Canis lupus familiaris: one gene and its partners. The protein of the gene in region 1 purifies or fractionates together with the protein of each later gene. This does not show direct contact. Links are inferred from orthologs where the notes say so. Each region holds a gene or a part of one and is shown on either strand. Other genes may lie near its edges.

Region 1 (7,745 bases):
TTCCCAACAGCCTTTATTCCAGCGCAAATTACTTGTAAAGAACCAGACTGCTAATACCTTTTCTGTAACCAGTGAAAAAAATTTCAAAAACTTAGAGGCTAGGTGAAGAGTCAAATCCAATATGCTAACTTTACCTTTCCTGACAAAGGAAACTATTGTCCATTAGTGGGTGCAGGTATCCAGTGCTTAGAAAAGCAATCATATTGACAGACCACCCAGCAAAGAATGCATGTGGCAGTAAGTGGCCTTTATAAAACAATTAAGGATATCAGTTTGCTCAGCAAATCCTTACGAACTTAAGGTTATGCAGTCTAACCTCAACATTACTGACAGCTCTGAGAGCAAATGCATTCATTTCAAAGCTACCAGACAGAAAGCCACTGTAAAACTGAATATTTACTGAAATCATTACTGACCCCTATCTCAGACGTTGATACAAATGTCTTAAGTCTCTCCATCCTTAGAACAAATTCTAACACATTTTCTCAAAGAATTCAGGTCACCAAAAGAATTCTCCAATGCTGACCTCACTTAAAATCAAAGTTTAGCTCACAAAAACAGAGAGGGAGAAAAAAGGTAAGAGTGAGGTCTCTGCAAGATAGAAACAGAACTTAAGAACTCGTGGTCTCTAAAGGGGAAAAAAAAAATGATATCAAAGAAATGTTTTACATGATAATTAATAACATAGCTTCTGGAAGCTAAATCCTTCCTTGTACCATGACCAAGCCCAAACATTCCAAGGAAGTGAGAAACTATCATATGCATGCACACTTCTCAATCTCTCTTTACAAACTCCATTTCACATACATTACTGTAGTATAAAAACATTTCCTACACATCTGTCTTACTAAAAAGGCTGAGGTCAAAACTTTACAGTACAATGTTTACTGAGAGTGAATTAATGTTGAAACTTTGTGCACTGATTTTCCCATAATAAATATTCCTTCATTAAAAGTCACTGAAGTGATTAAGTGGCTTAAGATATATTAAAAAGTACTAAGCTATCACCACACAAATCAACAGCAAACGGGGCAACTCTCAAAATGAGAACATGTGAAAATAAGAATCAGAGATTTCACTTCTAAAAACCAAGGAAACCTCGAACATTAAGAAGTTTGAGTATTTTTTTTGAGTGGTTATTAGGAAAAAGCAGATACACCGTCCCACATAAAAACTAAAATATCAATAGCCGCCTTTCTCGTGTTAAAGTAAAATTCTAAAAGGTAAGGAACACCAATGCATCTTTTTCTATGCTCTCTAAAAATAAATGTAAAACTACGGTGGTTATACCTCACCATATTTTATGACGCTTATTCATCTATTATTCATTTAGTGTATCATAAGCAATGTAAAATCTGTACTGATGGTTGTACTCCTGTGCAAACTTTTACAATGGACAGCAATAAAATTCCTTTTTCCTTATACAAAGTCATATAAACTGTGAATTATTCTCCTTTTAGATGCGCTCTATTCTTGAACAATCTTTATGAAAATGAAGTTTGTAAACTGTTACACAGCGATCAGGATGCCCAGTCATGTTGCTCGGAAAAGAAATACAACTTAGCAGATACAAAACAGTGTAAAATAAAAACTGTGAATAGAATCTTAAAAAAACAAAACAACTACAACAAAAAAAAAAAGAAAAAAAAAACCACCTCACAATACGGGCACTTCAGTAATCACTGATCTTAAAAGATAATACAGTTAACTTCCATAGTCACTGTTACCCTCTACAAGTTAAAAATACTCCCTATGGTTAATATTTGAAAAGACGCAAACTTATCAAGATGTAAAAATACATACAAACAGAGCCTAAAGTTCCCATGAAATCTAAAGACACTAAAATTTTTTTTAGTCTCATGGTCACCACCATTTTCCAGACTAACAGATGTTAACAAATTATTTTTAGGACAACTCAATTTTGCAAATAATCGTCTTCAGTTTTCCTCTGAGAAATCACTACGTTCTTCATCTTTCTTATCAGATAGAAATGCTCCAATCACTACTCTCATAAGGGAACGTAACTTCTCACAGGCTAGCTGCTGAAGCAGACACTACAACCTGCCAAAGTCCTCAATGGCCACCTTAATTTCCCCCCACAATACACAGAGAACCCTAAAGCGAAACCAAGCAAACCAAAGTGCACTGGTGTAATCAAAATTATTGGAAGTCCAACTAACAAAAAAAAAAAAAAAAAAAAAAAAGAGCCCTTCACTGACTTTTTCCTAAATGATTTTTTTTTCATATATTTGGCTCAATAAAACCACAACTCTAGAAATCAAGTGTTACTAGTCATTTGACGCAGCGTCTGACACTGCTTTCTATGCACACCCTAACTAAAAGTACCCTTCTAGTAACAGTCTCTAGGTCACGTAAATTTCAGGTATGGAGGCACACACCTGTGAAGTCAAAGGCGAGCTGGCCAACCAGCTCAGGACTCCTGTGTAAGAACCCCGCAGAACGATCTGAATCTTAAAGCCCTGACTATTTTAGAGCAAATGGGTAACGTAAAAATAAACCTACTCTGAATGATAAAAGCAATCTACCAAACAGCATCCACAGACATTGGTTTTTGCACGGGGATTTTTTCCTAAAAAGTCAAAGAAACGTGTAATCAATTTGTTCCTATACACCCAGACGGCTGTCAGTTCACACTAACGCTAGATTGCTTTTGAAATAAATTACAAATCAGAAGTTGTCCAGCAACTGGTCACCTTCTAGGCAAGCGGGTCAAGTTCAGCCTGACCAGTGTTGCAATCAATGCAGACTCCAAAACTTCTAAATAGTCTTCTAATACATAATTTTTTAATCAACAGAAAACTTACGTTTTGTGTGCTAGAAAGCTCCTTCTTCGGTGACTTTTACCTTCAGCTCAAAACAGACACTTGGGCAGAATTAGCTGTGCACGTTTATGTGCTGCTATGTAATCCAAAGGGAATTATAAAAAAAAAAAAAAAAAAAAAAAAACCTCTTCAGATGTAAAGAATTTTCTTCAAAAACCAAATCCTCCCCACAGTGTTTAGCAGGACATATGGATCCTTCAGCGCCACTCCACCTTTAGGCAAAATGTTTACTGGTGTTCGCTAAAAATGATCTTTATTAAGAATCCTCCAATAACAACCGACGCAATCACGTTTGAACTAAATACCGTCCACTGTTATAATTCACATCACCAAACTTCTGGCCTTCACAGAGGCCTTGTTAATAAGATGCTGTGGGCATCTCAGACCCACAAGTCAATTCTGTTTTTCATGCCTTAGACACTGGCCTAAGCAGGAACGCTGAACGCCTGTGATACTTTCCATTCTGGGGGAAAAAAAAAAAAAAAAAAAGGAGGGCTCTCTGCCCCAACTCTTGATCAAAACCAGTTCATTATACCTGAAACTGCCAAGATCAATGCCTTTCAATAACCGCTATCTTTTCAGGTACAAAGGCCTAACTTTTAGGCAACCGAAACGATACTCCTGTTAAAAATTCTCGGGTTTCTGTGTCATTCAACAACCTGAGTCAGTAAATTCAAGACACTGTGTGGAAAACCAGCTAACATACCTAGACCATGCGAAGCTGGAGTGATCCGCTCTTGCCTGCGTTGCTGGTGATTAGCTGGTAAATTACACCTGACCTTACACCCGAGCCCGAGTACAATTAACGGACATCACGCGGCGTCAGGAGTCCTGAAAGCTGGATGAGGTGAGCAGCAGTTCTGGACTCGCAGTGGCACTTGCATTTCAAGGAAGAACTGAAGCTTCATGTCTGCAATCACGATTTGCTGCACACAATACCCCAGAACCCACACAACACGCTCCTCCGGCATCAAGAAGCAGTCAATCCCCATTCTGCTACGTGAGACAAGACCACTGAACCTAAAATGCGGCTGAGCTGCAAAATCCCATGCCCTGTCCTGGATCACCCCATCAAGGGAGGGGGGAGGGGGGGAGGGGGAGGGGGAGGCAAATTTCAGAAAGACCGAGCAGCAAGAGCGGCTCAGGACGTGCGTTACCTGTGACACTATTGATCGCGAACTACACAACTTGGGAGAGGCAGTTCCCGGTTGTAATTCAACTCGGCGTGAGCACACGCGAACCTACTTTCTGTGCCCTCCAACGAACGCCCCGAGTGCTGAGAGCGATTCTGCTTCCAAAGTTATGCAAATCAGCTCACAACTCCCATTACGAATTAAAAAAAAAAAAAAAGTCTATCAATGCGAGCAACCCAGGAAACTAAATCACTGCGAGATTCTGATGCAATCTGCATACGTGCAACGCTAATTTTCATCTTCATCTAATCTGTGCCGTCGATCTGGGGGCCTAAAGCCAAGGTTTGACCGAAACGTGCTCGACCCCGGAGCCCGGGCGCCGCGTCCCCTCCGCGCGTCGGGCAGCCCGGGTTCCCGGCTCCGGGGTCCGCCGAGGGGCACCGAGTCCCGCGGGCGCGGACAATGGCCCTCCGGAGGGGCCGGGCGCGCGCAGGGCCGGGACCCGCCGCCGCCCGACAGCCGCGGCCGGGCGGAGGGGCGGAGGGGCGGAGGGGCCGGGGGCGCCGGGGCCGGGGCGCCGGGGCCGGGGCCGGGAACGAGGTCGGAGGCCGGGCCGGAGCCCCGAGGCCGAGGTCGGAGGCCGGGCCGGGGAAGCCGAGGCCGGGGTCCGGGGTGCGGGTGCGGGTGCGGGTGCGGGTGCGGGCGCGGGGTCCCGAGTCCCGGGTGCGGGTGCGGGTGCGGGGTCCCGGTGCGGGTGCGGGGGCCCGCGGCCGCGCGGAAAGGGATACAGGTCAAGTCCAAGTCGAACCCATCCTCCTGGTAGCGCCTTTTGTTTCTGCTGACGATCTCCTTGATGATGGCTGTCATGTCTGGGAGCCGGTGGCTGGAGAGGAAGGAGGAGAGAGACGGCAGGAGCGGCGGGCGGCGCGGCCTCCTCCGCAGGCTGCAGGCGGCCCCGGGCCTGGCGGCGGGCGGCCCTCGCGCGGCCGGGGCGGGCGTCGGCGGCGGGGCCTGCGCGCGCTCAGGCGGGCTGGCGGCCGCGGGCCGGGGCGGCGCCGGGGGGCCGGGCGGCCGGGCGGCGGCGGGGGGCAGGCTCTCGGGCGGCCCGGGGCCCTGCGCGCGCCGCCGCCGCCGCCGCCGTGGTGCGGGCGGGAGCGGGGGGGGCAGCGGGGCGCCGGCGGCCGCGGCCCCCTCCCCGGAGCCGCCGCCGCCCGGCCGGGCCCGCGGCTTCCACGGTCCCCCGCGCGGGGCGCCGAGCGACGGGAGCACGGCTAGACGCGGGCGCGGGGGGCGCGGGCGGGGGCGCGGGCGGGCGCGGGCGCGGGCGGGCGCGGGGGCGCGCGGGCGGGCGCGAGGGCGGGGGCGCGGGCGGGCGCGGGCGCGGGCGCGGGCGGGGGGGCGGGCGCGGGCGCGAGCGCGAGGCCGAGGCCGAGGGCGGGCCGCCCGCCGCTGCCGCTGCCGCTGCCGCTGCCGCCGCCGCCGGCCGGCCGGCTCCCCGAGGGCGCTGCCCCCGCGGCTGCTCACGGGCGCTGAGAGGGGCTCTGGGCCGCGGCCGCCGCCGTCTCTCATCTCCCTCCCTGCGCGCGGCCTCGCCTCTCCGCGGCGCAACTCTCAAACTTCCATCATGGCTGCAGCTTCCGAGACGAGGCGCCGAGCAGCGCGCACGCCCGCCCCGCCGCGTATCCTGCCGCGGCGCACAAAGAGTCCCGCCACGCCGCCGCCGCCGCCGCCGCCGCCGCCGCCGCCGCCGCCGCGAGCCCGGCGCCCCGGAGCCCGGGGGGAGGCGGGGGCCGGGGGGAGGCGGGGGGAGGCGGGGGCCGGGGGGGGCCGGGGCCGGGCGGGGGGAGGGGCGGGGGGCGACCGCCGCGCATGCCCAGTGCGAGCGGCCCCCGGAGCTGCACTTGCCGCGGCCGCTCCTGCAGCGGCGGACGGACGGACGGGCGGGCGGGGGCGTCGGGGACCCGAGTCGGACGGAGGTCGCCGCGCACCGGGGGCGCAGGGGGCGAGGGCGGGGCCAGCGGACCCGGGGCGCCCCTCCCCCGCCCGCAGCTCCCTGTGTCCGCCCCGTGTGCCCCCGCGTGTCCGCTCCCCGCGTGTCCGAGCACGAGGAACACCCCCACTATGGCCCTCGCGTGGCCACTGCCCCCGTGCCTGCTCCCCGCGTGTCGGTGTGACCACGAGCACCCCCCGCGCGTGTTCCCCCGTCCCTCCCGCATTGGTGTGAGCACGAGGACACCCACATTGTGCCCCCCGCGTGTCCGTCCCCCGCGTGTCGGCGTGAGCACGAGGAACACCGCCATTGTGTCCCCGCGTGTCGGTGTCCCCCCGCGTGTCCCCCCGTGCCTGTCCCTCGCGTGTCCGCCCCCCGCGTGTCCGCCCCCCGCGTGTCGGCGTGAGCCCGAGGAACTCCCCCCATTGTGTCTCCGCGCGTGTCCCCGCCCCCGGCTCGCCCCGCCGCCCCACCCCCGCCGCCGCGGGCCCAGGACCCCGGGGACGCGACCACCGCGCCGCCCCGGCCTCGCCCCCGAGAGCGGGCGTCCGTCCCTCGGGGCGCCTGCTGCCCGGTCCGCGCGGGGCTCGGGGCTCGGGGCTCCGGGCTCCGGGCTCCGGGCTCCGAGGCCGCCTGGCCCCGCCCCCCGCGGGCCGCCGCGAAAACCCGGCCGGCTGGATGGCCGCGGGCCGGCGTGGGCGTCCGCGCGTCGGGCTGCGCCCCGGGCCCGAGCCAGGAGTCCGGGCCGGGAGGGAGCGCCGGCCCGGCGGGTGGGCGGGGCCGAGGGGCTTCAAGGGGCGGCGGAGGGCTCCGCGGGCCGCGGCCGGGACTACTTCCAGGGGCGGTCACGTGTGCCCTAGTTGGGGAACTTTCCAAATTCCCAGTCCCCGAGGAGGGTCGGGGGCGGCCGGCGAGCGGCGGCGGTGGGGCGGCGAGTGGCGGGCGGCGGGCGGGCGCGGCGCCGGGGGAGCTGGTTACACAAGCACCCGCGTCCACGCACGTGCCCCCCGCGGCCGGACAGCCGGGGCCGGTGGCCGCAGAGCCGGGGCCGGCCTCGCCCTGCGGCGGCTGCGCTGCGCTGCGCTGCGCTTCCCTGCGGCGGCTGCGCCGGGCCCGGGGACTGTCGGGTGCGCCCCGCTGCGGGCCCCGCTGCTCGGAGGGCTCGGCCCGGCCGTGCGCCGCCACCGACCTGCCGCCTGAGCCCCGGCCCCCTCCACGCCGGCCGAGGGGCGCCGCGCCCGTTGCCCTGCCCGGGGAGCACCACCAGGCGGGCCGGGGCCGCCCAGAGGAGCGGGGCTGCAGCGGGGCCGGAGCGGGGCCGGAGCGGCCTGCGGGTGAAGCGCAGGGAAGTGACGCGCCGCCCGGGGAGGTGCGCCAGGACGCGGAGGCCGCCCGGAGCGGCTGTCCCGGCGCGCGGTGCTCGCAGGCGGCCCTCGCTACGCCCGCGGCGCCCAGAGCGCCCCTCGGATGGCCCCGGCCCCGGCCCCGGCCCCGCCCTCGCGCTCGGCCTCCCTCCGGGGAGCGCCGCAGGAGGTCGCAACCTGCGGGACCCTCGCGGTCCGTGTCGGTCGGAGCCCGCGTGGGGCGGGGGGAGGCCACACGTAGAAGAGGGAAGCGGGCGGGGGTCCGGGGGAGTAGGGGAGGGCTCCGTCGGGTCTCCAGAACCGAAACCCGCGTGCGCGGCCTGCGGTGGGCCAGAGGCTACGCGGGACGCCCTGCCCTCCAGCTGTGCCGCCGGGTCGCAGGGTTCCGGAGCCGAGCTGCGCTGCCCCGAGCAGC
Region 2 (7,140 bases), on another chromosome or scaffold:
TGCCCTTATATATACACATGTTCTCACACTTGTGCGAGTGGGCCTGTGGGATGGATTCCTAGAAAGTCCTTCCTGCATCAAAGGACATGTGCATCTATAATTGTGACAGGTATTGCCAAACTGCTGTCTGTGGAGGCTTTACCGGTTTGCACTCCCACTCTTGTCACACATCTCTTCCTGCATCTTTGCTGGTGCAGCGTGGCGCCACATTTTCCAACCTTTGTCAGTGCTGTGGAAAGATTGTTTCCTTAACGGTTTTAATTTGTGGTTTTCTTATTAGTGAGTGTATGCATCTTTTCCTGGGTTTACAACCTATTTGTATTTCCTTTCTTTGTGAGCTGTGTTCATTTTCTTTACCCTTTTTTTTTTAAAGATTTCTTTTATTCATTCATTCATTCATTCATTCATGACAGAGAGATAGAGATAGAGAGACAGAGACACACACAGGCAGAGGAAGAAGCAGGCTCCATGCAAGGAGCACAACTTGGGACTGGATCCCAGGTCTCCAGGACCACGCCCTGGGCTGAAGGTGGCACTAAACTGCTAAGCCACTGGGGCTGCCCTTGTTTGTTTTCTTAAGTGATTTTTCAGGAGCCTTTACATATTAAGCCCTGTCTGTGGTAGGATCTGCCAATATTTTTTTGCAGTCTGTCCATTTGTCTTTTTATTCCTTCTCCAACAATCTTTGCTGTGGTGTTTTAGGTTTTTATGAGGGTAAATATCAGGTTTTTAAATTTTATTTATTTTATTTTATTTTATTTATTTATTTTTTTACATATGTCTTCTGAGTTTTGGGTCATAATTAGGAAGGTCTTTCATACTCTGAGGTTAAAAAGAATTCTCCTATAGTTTATGCGGTTTTGCTTTTTTTCAAAGAAAAAACCACTTTTGTGGTTTTGTTTTTTTCAAAGAAAATTATGTATCTTGTACCTCTTTGGAATTTATATTCCCATAAGTATGTGAGTGTATGGATCCAACTTTATATTTTTCCTTGTGGTTACTTACCTAGTTGTATCCAAGCCATTTAATTATTACATATCTTCTCCACTGATTTAAAATACCACTTTTTTTGCATATAAAATTCCCATATGTAGTTGGGTCTATTTCTAGATGTTGGTTCTATTTCACTGGTTTCTCTGTTCATGTGTTAATGTGTTTGTTGTTTTGATTAAGAGCATATTTTAAAATCTGATAGAGATTTACACCTGGTGGCTCAGTTAGTTAAGCATCTGCCTTCAGCTCAGGTGGTGATCTGGATCCTGGGATCGAGTCCCACGCCAGGCTCCCCGCATCGGGCTCCCTGTTCGGCTGGGAATTTGCTTCTCCCTCTGTGTGTGTGTGTGTGTCTCAAAGAAGTGAAATCTTGAAAAAAAATCTGGTAGAATTTTTCACTTATCATTACTTTTCTTTCTTTATAATTTCCTGCATATTCTTCCTTTTCTTGTGTGTTATGTATAGATATTAGAATAAGGTTGTCAAGTTAAAAGGAAGTCCTCTTGATTTTGTTTTTATTGGGATCTCATTAAATAGATAGATTAACTTAAGGAAAAAGTGACATCTTTATGATGTTGAATCTTCCTAGCCAAGAGACTGATAAGCCTTTTTTGTTTTGTTTTGTTTAATTGACTTTTTTGGTGATCTGAGGAGCATTTGCTTCCTATGGATCTTGCCCATTTTTTGCAGAGTGTGTTCTTAGGTGTTTTGTGTTTTTGTTTCTATTGTAAGGAAAGAATCTTTCCTTTTTATTTCCTAGCTGCTTATCATTTGTGTATATGAGAGTTAATAAAATGTTAATTTTGTGCACGCCCAGCTATCCTGCAGAATTCTTTTTTTTTTTTTTAATTCAGGTAAAATTGGGATGCCTGGGTGGCTCAGCGGTTTAGCACCTGCCTTTGGCCCAGAGCGTGATCCTGGAGTCCTGGAATTGAGTCCCACATTGGGCTCCCTGCATAGAGCCTGTTTCTCCCTCTGCCTGTCTCTCTGCCTCTCTCTCTCTGTGTGTCTCATGAATAAGTAAATAAAATCTTTAAAAAAAATAAATTCAGGTAAAATTCATGTAACATAAAATTAACTATATATATATATATATATATATAAATTAAATTAAATATAAATAAATTAATTAAATATATATATTTAAGTAGGCTCCATGCTCAGCATAGAGCCCATTGCAGGGCTTGAACTCAGGAGCCTGAGATCAAGACCTGAGATCAAAAGTCAGACCTTTAATCGACTGAGCCACCCAGGTGCCACCCACATAATTTTAAAATGTACGATGTACTGTCACTGCGTACACCCACAAAGCTGTGCAGCTCCTTCCTCCATCCAGTTCCAGAACATTTTCCTTACCCAGTAGGAAACCACGTGCCAATAAAGCAGTCACTCCCCATTCCTTTTCTCCCTGAGCTGCCACCAGTCTGCTTTATGTCTGTGTGGATTTGCCAGTTCTGGATATTTTCCATAAATGGGATCATATAGTATGTGAGCTTTTGTGACTAGCTTATGTCACTTAGCATCATGTTTTCAAGGGTCGTCCATGTTGAAGCAGGTGTCCGTATTTCATTCCGTTCTAAGAGTGAATCCTATTCCATAGTGTGGATAGAGTCCATTCCATCATCCTTTCATCTCTTGATAAGCATTTGGGTCATTTCCACTTTAGGCTCTTGTGAATAGTGCAGTTATGAATATTTGGGTGTAGTATTAAGGTCCCTTTCTTCAGTCTTCTGGATACGTACCCAGGAGTAGAATTGCTAGGTCATGTGTTTATTAACTTCTTGAGGAACTGCCACATTGTTTTCCATAGTAGCTGTACCATCTGACATTGCCACCAGCACTGTATTCAGGGTTCCACTTTCTTCACACTCTTACCAACACTTGGTATTTTTTCCTTCCATCTTTTTAAAATTATGGGTATCCTACTAGGTATGAAGTGTAATCTCATGGTTTTGATTTGCATTTCTTTAATGACTAATGATGTTGAACATCTTTTCATGTGTTTGTTGGCCATTTGTATGTCTTTGGAGAAATGTCTGTTCAAGTCTTTTGCCCATGTTTTAATTGTGGTATTTGTGCTTTTGTTGTTCCATTATGAGAGTTCTTTATATATTTTGTATACTAGATTCTTGTATATGATTTTCCAGAATCCTTTTTGTTTGTGGTAGATTTTTGGTTGATTCTCTTGTTTTTTTTTTTTTTTTTTTTTTTTTTTTTAGGTGTAGAATTATATCATCTACAAATAATGGTAATCTTTCTTCTTCCTTTTCAGTTTCATACTTTTGTTTTTTGGGGGCCAGGAGGGCCAGTTGCATCGGCTGTTACCTCCAAAACATTGTTAAATAATAATGGTAGTGAAAATGTTTATTGAGCTCCTTACTTTAATGGAAATGAAGCATCATTGTGTGGATTTTCCATGGTTATTTAACCATCCACACACCGTGAAATCCTCAGGTTGTTTGCAGGTATTCACCACTATTAGAAGCGCTGTGGTGAGCACTTTTACATGAATCCTTTCTATAGTTGACATGATTTGACATTATTTCCTTTGGATAAATTTTAAAGACTTGATACACATGGCCAGGTTGTTTGGGTATAATTTTATAATGGATGGCTTTGATTGTAAGGAATGGACTGTACACTGCTGGATTCCGCTTATACTTTTGCATGCAAATGAATAGGAATTTGTCCTTGCCTATTTTCCATCTACCCATGTTAGTGGGAAAGGAAGGGAGAAGGTGGCTGATCAGCCCCAGAAGGATGATTTTAGCTATTCTTAATAAGCTTAGGTTGGGAAAGGCCTTATGGATACCATGTGAACTGTTCTTTGTGTTTTTAGAATTTGGATGGCCAGGTTCCCTTGCATGTGGTGGTATGCATGTGGTTAGATGACGTCAGGTGAGGTTAGATGAGTCATACTCACCTGAGACTGTCCAGCCGGGACAGGAGCTTCAGCACACTGAAGCTTGCTGATAGTCAGGTAGGGCCTAGGGACCCAGATGAGAGATGTATGAATGCTTCTTCAAGACATCTTGTCTTGCTGCAGAAGTCACTGGGTGAGCTTCTGTTACTAAGCTCCCAGCTCTAGAAATCAGCTGACACAAATGTGTGCTGCTTCAAGTCAGTGGTCATTGCAGAATGTTGGTATCTAGGAACTACATAGGAATGCTAATGCTATTCTTACAGTTTATCCTATTTCTTTTTTTTTTTTTTTTTTTTTTTTTTTTTTTAAATTTTTTTTTTATTTATTTATGATAGTCACAGAGAGAGAGAGAGGCAGAGACACAGGCAGAGGGAGAAGCAGGCTCCATGCACCGGGAGCCCGACGTGGGATTCGATCCCGGGTCTCCAGGATCATGCCCTGGGCCAAAGGCAGGCGCCAAACCGCTGCGCCACCCAGGGATCCCGTTTATCCTATTTCTTGATTCTTTCTTTTTCATACTTCTGTTGTGGTTTTGGAATCTCCATGTCTGGATGAAATTTAGCCTAGTCATTACTAGTCCTTAAGATTGTTCCTGGAATCTTTTCCACATAAATACATATTAGAATAATTTTGAAATTTGAATGTCTTCTTGTGTTGAAGATGCTGAACATAATTTGTATGTTCCATGATTATTACTCTTTATATTTCCTTTAGTTTCAGATGCTTCATCAAGATGAATCCAATAAAAGGGAAAAGATCAAGACGAAGGGCATTGACTTTGAAGATGACCTGAGAGATGAAGTAGAAGATGCTGTCCAGAAAGTTTGCAATGCAACTGGTTGTTCAGTGAGTATTTCTGTCCTGTAGTAATGACAGTGGATGAACAACTGTTGCTATCCCTAGTTTACCTGCCAGTTTCATAGTACCAGTCTAGCTGCTCACACCCAGTGGGCCAGAATAGGTTCATGATGTCTGTGGTTTGATTAGAAGACTTAAATGAGAGCTGTTTATTCATTTATCTCTTGTTTGTTAGACTTTACCCAGTGCTGCTCAAAATCCTAAGAAGTATGTGGGGTTTATTTTTTTATTTTTAATTTTTTTTCCTGACTAGCTAAACATTTACCCTAGTAAAAGTGCAGTCTTGTAAAGGAATTCATTTATATTAAATGGTTAGTTATTTCAGATGACCAGCCTTATTGAAAATTAAGACATTTTCTAAATGGAAAAGGTCTTGAAACCATGCCTCAGTTCTCACTGTTACCTCTTCTTGTGTATCAGGCTGTTGACGTAGAGGCAGGTAGAAGAGTATACCCAGTCTTGAAGTGTTCCTTTGTTTCTTGGATAGGATTTTAATTTGATAGTCCAGAACCTGGAAGCTGAAAATTATAATATTGAATCTGCAATAATTGCCATGCTTCAGATGAACCAGGGGAAAAGAAATAGTAAGTCCATGATTGATATTTATAAGCTTTCAAAATGGTTGTATTGGTGATTCTCCAAACATTTGTTTTTAATCAAGGCATAGGTAGTGATTACACTGTCATTTATCACTTTCTGCATGTGGGCATGTTGTATGAGATCCTAGCCCTGCCTTAGGGAGAAGATAATCTGGAGTTGAGGGGGGCAGAGGGGAGATAATAAACTGGTATAATAATACCTACTGGAGTTGAGGGTATAGGGAACTGGGGAAATGGATGGATAGGCCACCTAACTAGTCTTGGAGGGATGGAGAGTGTCAGGGAAGACTTTATTCTTTTCAAAAGAAAAATCCCTTAGAAAACCAAAATGATAACTGAAATAGAATAGAGAGAGAAATAACTTATTTTTCTAATGGAAATATTTAGATACTAACATCTATCAGCTGGTGATAAATCAAGATTTTTTTAAACTTTTTTTTTTTTTAAGATTTTTATTTATTTATTCATGACACACGCACAGGCAGAGGGAGCAGGCCTCCTGCAAGGAGCCTGATATGGGACTCGAACCTGGATCCCGGGATCAGACCCTGAGCCAAAGGCAGACGCTCAACCCCTGAGCCACCCAGGCATCCCGGATTTTTTTTTACTTGAATTGGGTTAAATTCTGTGCCTCAGGAGATGGGAAAAAAGATGTAGAGTCTTAACTGTTTTTACAAGTTACTTATTAAAATGGTACAGTATTGCCACATACAAAATACATATTGCCAGTATGTGTCAGATACTGTTCCTGGCATTATAGTTTTCTGTGTGTTTGAGTATTTTATTATCCTCTTTATATTTTTGCTGTGCTTTCTTAGAAAGCTGTCAGGGACTCGGTCTTTGTGACAGTAAAACACCACTGTCTAGTGTCTCTGTCATTCAGTATAGTGTGTATTGGACATGTGTGGCTCAGTGAGTAAGGAACTAAAGTTTAAATATCATTTAACTAATTAATTTTAACTTAAATGGCCACATGTGGCTGGTAGCTGCTGTTTTGGGCAGTACAGGTTTGAAGCCTGTTTCCTTTCTGGGCTTTAGGTGCAAATGAAGGATTTCCTCCTAAAAATACATGTTAAAAAATAGTTTAATAAAAACACTCTGTAGGTGGGAAGCTGATGATTAGGCTGGTCAGCAGGTTATTTTTAAATTTATCTTCCAGATACTACTGGTTATTTCCCCACTAGGTTCCCTACTGTATGGTCTGGGTGTTAGAGTTTTGCTTCAAGGAAACTTGTTCTCCACATGACAGGTGATATTGGAGTCACTTAACAGTGTGTGTTGTTACATTCTCAATTTTAATTAAATACCTTTCTTTGGAAGATACAGAGGAGAACCTTGAGTCCGGCGGCCGAGTTCTGAAGCAATGTGGCCCTTTATGGGAGGAGGGTGGCAGTGGCACCCGACTCTTTGGAAATCAGGGTGTAAATGAAGGCAGAACTGAAAACAATAAGGAGCGGGCCAGCCCTAGTGAAGAAAACAAAGCAAATAAAAACCAGCTCCCAAAGGTATGAAAGGTGGGCTGCTGTAATTCACTGGCAGTGGTGGGGAACTTGGAGCTCATATTAGTGCCTCTTTTTTTCCTGAGTTCTAAAAAGAAGTTACTGTAGAAAAAAATACGAGAGTGCATATGGGGATGTCAAGAAGCAGAAGGAGGTCCTTGCTTGTCTGTTTTGCTATGTGCGGTGCTGAATAGAACTATGCCCTGAAATCCTCCTCTATGTACACACACACAGCCTCCCTTTCCTGCTCAGTGTCACTGTGTGTCTG
Region 3 (7,140 bases), on another chromosome or scaffold:
CATTATTTTTGTAAATAGAATTTAAAAAGAAAAAAGAGACTGAAAAGAAACAATGAATATGGCAAGCAATCATAGCTAACGTAAAGGTTTGGTACCAGTAGTAATTTCATTTCATCCCAATGATGTAAGAAAAGAATCTAGCAGAAAGGTGAGATCAATTCTAGTTTTGTTTTTTGTGGCTGACAACAAGAAGGAAAAATCAGGGAAATACAAGATATTTCAATACAAATATTACAGCAAAGAGGGGCACAACCACCAAAACGGAAAATTTTTTTCAGGAAGAGGTTTAAAATATTAGATGTTAGTAGACAGAATGAAAAATTTTCTTGATCATCAAATAAATCAAGAAACCAGCATTTATGAAGCATCTGAGAAAAGACTTCTGATCCAAAAAAAGAATTAAACCCCTATTAAGTAGGAAATATTCATGGAGTAAACAAATTACATAAAGTCTGTAAGACCAAAGGAGCAGATAGGTATTATACATAATCACATAATTAAAGATGAAACTGTACAGAACTTTTCAAAAAGATGAGAACATAATTCGGGTTGAAATCTGGAAATACAGGAAATACAAGACCAGACTTTTACTCTGAAGGTAAATTTGGGAAAATAATTCAGATGGAAGCAAAGGAATAATTTTCTCAAGGTATGAATATAAAGGAAGAACAAAGGGCAAACTATTAAACTTGAGGAATATGGAAAGAATCACGAAAATTTATAAGTGAAATGAGAAAAAGAAGTCAATAAAGAATAGAAGGAAATCAAACAAAAAAATAGGAGAATCAGACTTATCCTGGATTATCTAGGCTGGTCCAATCTAATTATATGTGTTCTTAAAAGTAGTGGTCAGAAAGGGCAATGGAAGAAGAGGTAAAAGAAAATGGAAATGTAAGAAGGCTGGTATTGCTGGCTTGGAAGATAAAAGAAGGAAATCATGATACAAGGATATAAACAACTTCAAGAGGCTGGAAAAGACAAGGAAGCAGATTCTCACCCAGAATCACAAGAAAAGCAACCTTGTCAACACATTGATTTTAGCCCAATGAAATCTATTTCAGATTTGTGACCCATAGAACTATAAAATACATGTATGTTTTTTAAGTCACTAAGTATGTGGTAATTTGTTATGACAGTGATAGAAAATTAATACAACTGGTAATTAATCAGAAATTATAGTCACTAAACAATCTAGATAAAGAAGAATTTAATATACCTGAAAATCAATGTGAAGAATTTGGCATTTAATTAAACAGAGTATCCTTCAAGTATACTTTCTTGATACAATGTTTTTTTCCTAAGAACTTAGGATAAATAAAAATTTTTGTAGCTTCAAATTTTGTGAATTCATATTTTAAGGGACTAATAAGAAAAAAAACTTTCCTATAATGTAACTTCAGTTTAGTCAGATTCTTTTTATTTTCTTAAAATACCCACCTCCTGAGAAAAGGAAAGGCAGGCAGGCAGGCAGGCCAGCCAGCCGGCCAGCCTGGGTGGCTCAATCACTTAAGCATCTGCCTTAGGCTCAGGTCATGATTCCAAAGATTCTGGGTTCTAGCCCTGCTTCATCCGGCTCCCTGCTGAGCGAGGAGTCGGTTTCTCTCTCTCCCTCTGCCACCACCACCCTGCTCATGCTCTCTCTCTCTAATAAATAAATAAAAATATTTTTAAAAAATAACCTGGGACATTTGGACATTTACAAGAGAGGTCCACAAAATAAAAACGGTGGCTTTTTTCTCCCTTTATTTTAAGCAGAATTTTTCAAATACACAAAGGTACGAACAGACAAAACTAATGTGTGACAACCATTAATTCAGGTAATTTAAAGTCTATGTTATAGATTATACAAAAAGAAAGCTAAAGTAATTGAATAAGTAATAATTAAAGTGGAATTTTTCATAAAAACTAGCTTAAACACCGTACTTTACCTCTTTCTCCCTTCTTTATCAGCAATATGTTATAGTCATCTAGAACCTCTAGGTACAAACACAATTATAGTGAAGAGAGTTTTCTGGTTAACTAATAGTTTTTTCAAATGACTACCAAAAACACTTCCACTTATTTCAAAACTTCTTTATAGTGCTTAAAAAATATAGGCTCTGGGATCCCTGGGTGGCGCAGCGGTTTAGCGCCTGCCTTTGGCCTAGGGCGCAATCCTGGAGACCCGGGATCGAATCCCACATCGGGCTCCCGGTGCACGGAGCCTGCTTCTCCCTCTGCCTGTGTCTCTGCCTCTCTCTCTCTGTGACTATCATAAATAAATAAAAATTTAAAAAAAATATTAAAAAAAATATTAAAAAAAAAAATATAGGCTCTAACGAGGAGACAGATCCTCAGCCAGTTTTTTTAACCTTGAGTGTTATCTCCTAACATATGGGATTATCAAGAAGGATTAAATTATATTATGTACATATAAAATATCTAATACATTTATTAAGTGTTTTCTATTCCATTAACTATTCTAAAGAAACCTGTAAGAAAAATTACCTTTTCTATTACTTAGAAAGCGGTATAAAGAATATAAATGGATCTTTTCTTCATGAGAGTTTCATCATTACAAACCTTAATCACTATACAATAATGACATAAAGAGGATAACCATACTCCAGCTTTGTCTGAGACAATCTCAGTTTATGCTTCCTGTCCTGAAATCCCTTTTAATTCTCAAGTCTCCCAGCTTGGATAAGTAATATAGTGAAACAAGATAAAAAGATCTATTGAGATATTACTTGGATAACTGTCTCTAATTCTACTACTGGCCTATGAATATATGTGTATATCTGCTAGTCTACAGACACTACTAGATCGATTTTTTTAATGGTGATAACTGTGTCTCAGTAATCTTTGTTAATTTCACTACCTAAATACAGTGTCTAGCAATTTACTGTTAGATTAATGAGAAAATGATGGAATAAAAGAGTATGAATTTTATTCTGTAATAAATAGCCCCATACTAATCTTGTTTTTTTCTTCCCAGTTTATATTTCAATAAACCTCAAAGAATATATGATGTTGTCTTATTCATATTCTGGTAACTACCTGGTTTATGAGTCTTTCCCATTCACTTTTCCCTTTATATATACTACCATCTTAGAAGCTACACAAAACTCAAGTGACTCAGAATTTAGTTGTAGGTAAAAGACAGATGCTAGAAAAGAGCCTACAGATTTAGTTTTACTTTGCCTACTTCCCAAAGCTAAACAGAAATATTATAAAAACAAAGTTGTGGAATACTGTTCATAGTTATACTTAATATAAAACACTTACCCACAGGCAGCATCTGTTTTTTGGAAATACCAACATTTATCACCTTTTCACACTCTTCCATATTTCTATCTGAATTTCTCTGTAATTTATCTTGGGTGATATGTGACACATTTATATTGTTATCTTTCGATTGTTCCATATCAACCTGTTCTTCAAGGATATTGGCCTTAAATTTTCCTCTCTCTTGTTGTTGTATAGTCTTTTTCTTTCCAGATGATTTCTCTGCATTCTCATAATACATTTCATGTTTTGTAGATCTATAATCATTTTCCAGTTCATTTGTCGAAGCACAACTTCTACCCAGTCTTCTTTGTTCAGAGGGCGGAGACGTCTCTACTGCATAAGCTGTGTCAGAATGTTTGTCACTTGTCAAAGCTGTAGGTGACAGGCTGTGATGTTTTTCTTTTGACTTCTTACTTTGAAGTAGTGCAGAGCTCTCTGCAGGGTACACTGTGCACTGTTTCAGAGACCCAGCCTTTCTGGGTATAGTAATCCAAGGTTGACTGGCAATACTGCTTTCTGATTCATCAATTATAAATTCATCCTCTAACAACGTTAGGTCATTTGAAGGAGATGAATGAGGTGGAGCAGTTGCTATATGCCTAACAACAGGACTAAACAGGATGTTACAATAAGTAATAGCTCAAAAAATAAAGTTTTTACCTTTGCTTTGTGAAGAAAATAATCTAAATAGGAAATATAATCTATGTATCTTTTAAAGAACAGTATACATCTCGTCAATTTTCTCTTACCCTTGAAAATCCTCCTCTCCTTTTACATTTCTGTAATACCCAATTATACTCATTTAAAACACTAATGAAATCACAGAAGTTCAGAGCTGGAAGGAAGCCTAGACATCAACTAATTTAAGGCTCCCCCAACCCATTATATATATTGAATAGTTGAAACCCGCAGATGTGTTAAACAGCCCAGAGACATTGACCTACAGTCCAAAAATGCATGCCATTATTATTTATACTGTTATACTAATTCTAGGTCTGTATAGATGTCTCTTAGGGGCCAGATTTCTTTACATCCAAAACAATGTCATTTCCAAGGCATCTTCAAGTATAATAGTCTAAGAAAACACTACAAATTTATGCACTAAATAATATAAAAATTCATTCCAAGTTTGATAATCACATACGTCTTCAAATAAGTTTTAATATTGGAATCACAGTATAGAAATAAATGAAAAGTATCTAGAAAGGTAATCTAATAGGAATTAAACAGCATCTCTTCCAATTAGTTGGGAAAGCTTTCTAGAGAAGGAAGGAATTATTCAAAGGATAGTAATCTGATGGACTCTTCTGCATTTCCTTCGTTTTTATAACAACAGCCTCAAGCAAAACACCTACTGAAGTGAGATATGCATAAGTAAAAACTTAGGGTAAACACCCAAACTCTGAAGCTAGCATATGTACTCCTGTTTCTGCCTTTTCCGCTTGAGTCAGGATCCTTAAGCATTATCGTGTCTGCCTCTTCTATATTTTCATTAATAAAATATACAAAAAGATTATGAAATGAAAATGCCTTCTCTACTTTTCTAATCTCAAACCCCTGATAAATCTTATAATCTCTATATATAAATATATATATATTTATACACACACACACACATATATATACACTAAGAAATATACTATCTTCTAACAAGTAGAGTTTTGCAAGTTTATATGATTAGAAAACTCTAGAAAATCTAATGAATACCAAGTCAATATAAATAGAAAACCACAATGTATGAATATTTAAACAGAAATATTACTTTTCAACATTTAGAGAAATAGCCAATCTGTTATAAACAGGTTTAATTTGCCTTACTGTATATAACTCATCTATTAAGTTTTTGTATATAAAGAAGTAATGCTAAGAATTTAAAAATTAAGCCTTCCTAAACCGGCCAATAAGAATTCTCTAAATTTGCGCCTCTATTTTACTTCAAGGGACTTCCAAAACATCATGATTAGTCAAACTGAAGATATCCTTAGGAAACAACGTTGACACTTGCTATAGACTGAATGTCTGTATATTTCCAAAATTTATAAACTGAAACCTAATCCCCAGTGGAATAGTATTTGGGGATGGGGCTTTTACAAGGTGATTAAGTCATGAGGGTAGAACACTAATGAATAGAATTAACACCCTCATAAAAGAAGCCTCAGAAAGCCTTCTTGCTATCATCTGCCATGTGAGGTTGTAGAAAGAAGATAGCCATCCATGACCCAGGAAGCAGATGTCACCAGAAAAGAAAAAGACTAGCATATGACAAGGGAAAAATGGTATGCCAAAACAGACAAATGCAAATGTGTATGACCAAGTTGGCAGAAACAGGTAACCAGGGAGAGTGAAGGTTTTAAATACCAGCTGACAAATCTGAAGTTTATATAGGCCAGTGGTTCTCAACCCTAGCTGACATTAATTGTAGTTAACTGTAATGTGCAGCCAGTTAAGATCACTGTATGGACACTGAAGAACCTCTAAAGGTTTTAAGGAGGCCAAAACAGACTAAAATTTATTAACACAAGCAGAAGAAAAGTAAAAGTGTTAAAGCCCTTAATAGTGAAATACATCATGACATAATTCTGTTTCTAAATACTGCCTTCATTCTTTGGTATCATACAGATTTGAAAGTGCTAATGAACAGAAGCAATGAAAGCTGAAAAAACTTACTGTCTTTCACATTTAATTTAGTAGATATTTAATGATGGCTTTGGGAGTGATTTGCTGTGAGAGTTAGGCATAATTTCAATTAAAATTTGTACCAAATAAGATTAACTTCTATATAAATAGCATTTAGCATTAAGAATCTATTTAAATAGCATTAAGAATCCTTGATATTGTTCACAGAATGTAAAATAAAATTGCCTCAAAGGCAGCTTCTTAGTAACTCACCTGGATTCACTTTTTCGTTTTACAGTTTCTAAAAACAATGTTGAAAAACTTTTTTTAGTTTGTGGCTGAATTTCATCTTCTGAGTCTTGTACTCTTTTCTGAGATATTCTTAATGATCTCCTCTTTTGTGTTTCTTCTGATACTTTATCTTCTATTTCTGATACTTTATTTGCTATTTCTCCTTTCTTCAAAACACTTTTTTCTTCAAAATTTAACCTTGAAGGTTAAAAGGAAGGCAAGTTGTATAATCTCACAGTTTGCTGAGTTATAAGTTTTCCTGAACAATAAAGTTTTCAGTGACAATACAGACCACTTACAAAATTTTCCACTAGGCCGGGACACTTGGGTGGCTCAGTGGGTTGAGCGTCTGCCTTTGGCTCAGGTGGTGATCCCAGAGTCTTAGGATCAAATCCTGCATCAGGCTCCCCCTCTGGTTCTCCCTCTGCCTATGTCTCTGCCTCTTTCTTGGTCTCTCTTATGTATAAATAAATAAAATCTTAAAAAAAATTTTTTTTTCCACTAGGCCTTTAAAATCTCCACGTTCTGATCTGTAATCTCTTAAAATATACAAAGAAAATTACATTTCTTATTTGTCAATGGAAAAAAGTAAGAGATAGACCAAGGAAATCTGTATCTTAGAGGACTAGTTCTCAAACATTTCATGAGATTTTGAATAATCTGAAAAATCTTATCAAAATATAGATTCTGATTCAGTAGGTCTAAAGTAGGCTTTGAGATTCTGTATTTCTAAAAAACTGCCAGATAATGCATCCACTGTTCTTGATCCTGAGCCACAGAATATTCTGAATAGCAAAATCTTAGAATGTACTTAACTCCTTGGCTCCAAGAATTACACAAGACACTAGGCAGACAGTTACACTCATTGCAAAGGTACCCAGCAGCAAAGGACTTTGAATGATCTACTTTGCCTCTTAAAGGCCAAAATGAAAGCCCCAAGAAACAGACATAGATTTACCACAA

What was found.
Region 2: the proteins of PTEN (region 1) and OTUD3 purify together in Homo sapiens (affinity purification with western blotting; 3 studies listed by BioGRID and IntAct, with this or other methods). This does not show direct contact. The link is inferred for Canis lupus familiaris from reciprocal best matches to the Homo sapiens genes PTEN and OTUD3.
Region 3: the proteins of PTEN (region 1) and CENPC purify together in Homo sapiens (affinity purification with western blotting; 3 studies listed by BioGRID, with this or other methods). This does not show direct contact. The link is inferred for Canis lupus familiaris from reciprocal best matches to the Homo sapiens genes PTEN and CENPC.

What each region holds. Positions count from the first base shown.
Region 1 is NC_049247.1:38,115,467-38,123,211, reverse strand, and holds the start of PTEN (phosphatidylinositol 3,4,5-trisphosphate 3-phosphatase and dual-specificity protein phosphatase PTEN), read right to left. Parts: upstream 4,952-7,745; 5' UTR 4,844-4,951; coding exon 4,765-4,843; intron 1-4,764. UniProt on the Homo sapiens protein: Dual-specificity protein phosphatase, dephosphorylating tyrosine-, serine- and threonine-phosphorylated proteins.
Region 2 is NC_049223.1:78,313,046-78,320,185, reverse strand, and holds part of OTUD3 (OTU domain-containing protein 3), read left to right. Parts: intron 1-4,630; coding exon 4,631-4,762; intron 4,763-5,261; coding exon 5,262-5,358; intron 5,359-6,693; coding exon 6,694-6,878; intron 6,879-7,140.
Region 3 is NC_049234.1:58,900,171-58,907,310, forward strand, and holds part of CENPC (centromere protein C), read right to left. Parts: intron 6,376-7,140; coding exon 6,160-6,375; intron 3,882-6,159; coding exon 3,268-3,881; intron 1-3,267. UniProt on the Homo sapiens protein: Component of the CENPA-NAC (nucleosome-associated) complex, a complex that plays a central role in assembly of kinetochore proteins, mitotic progression and chromosome segregation.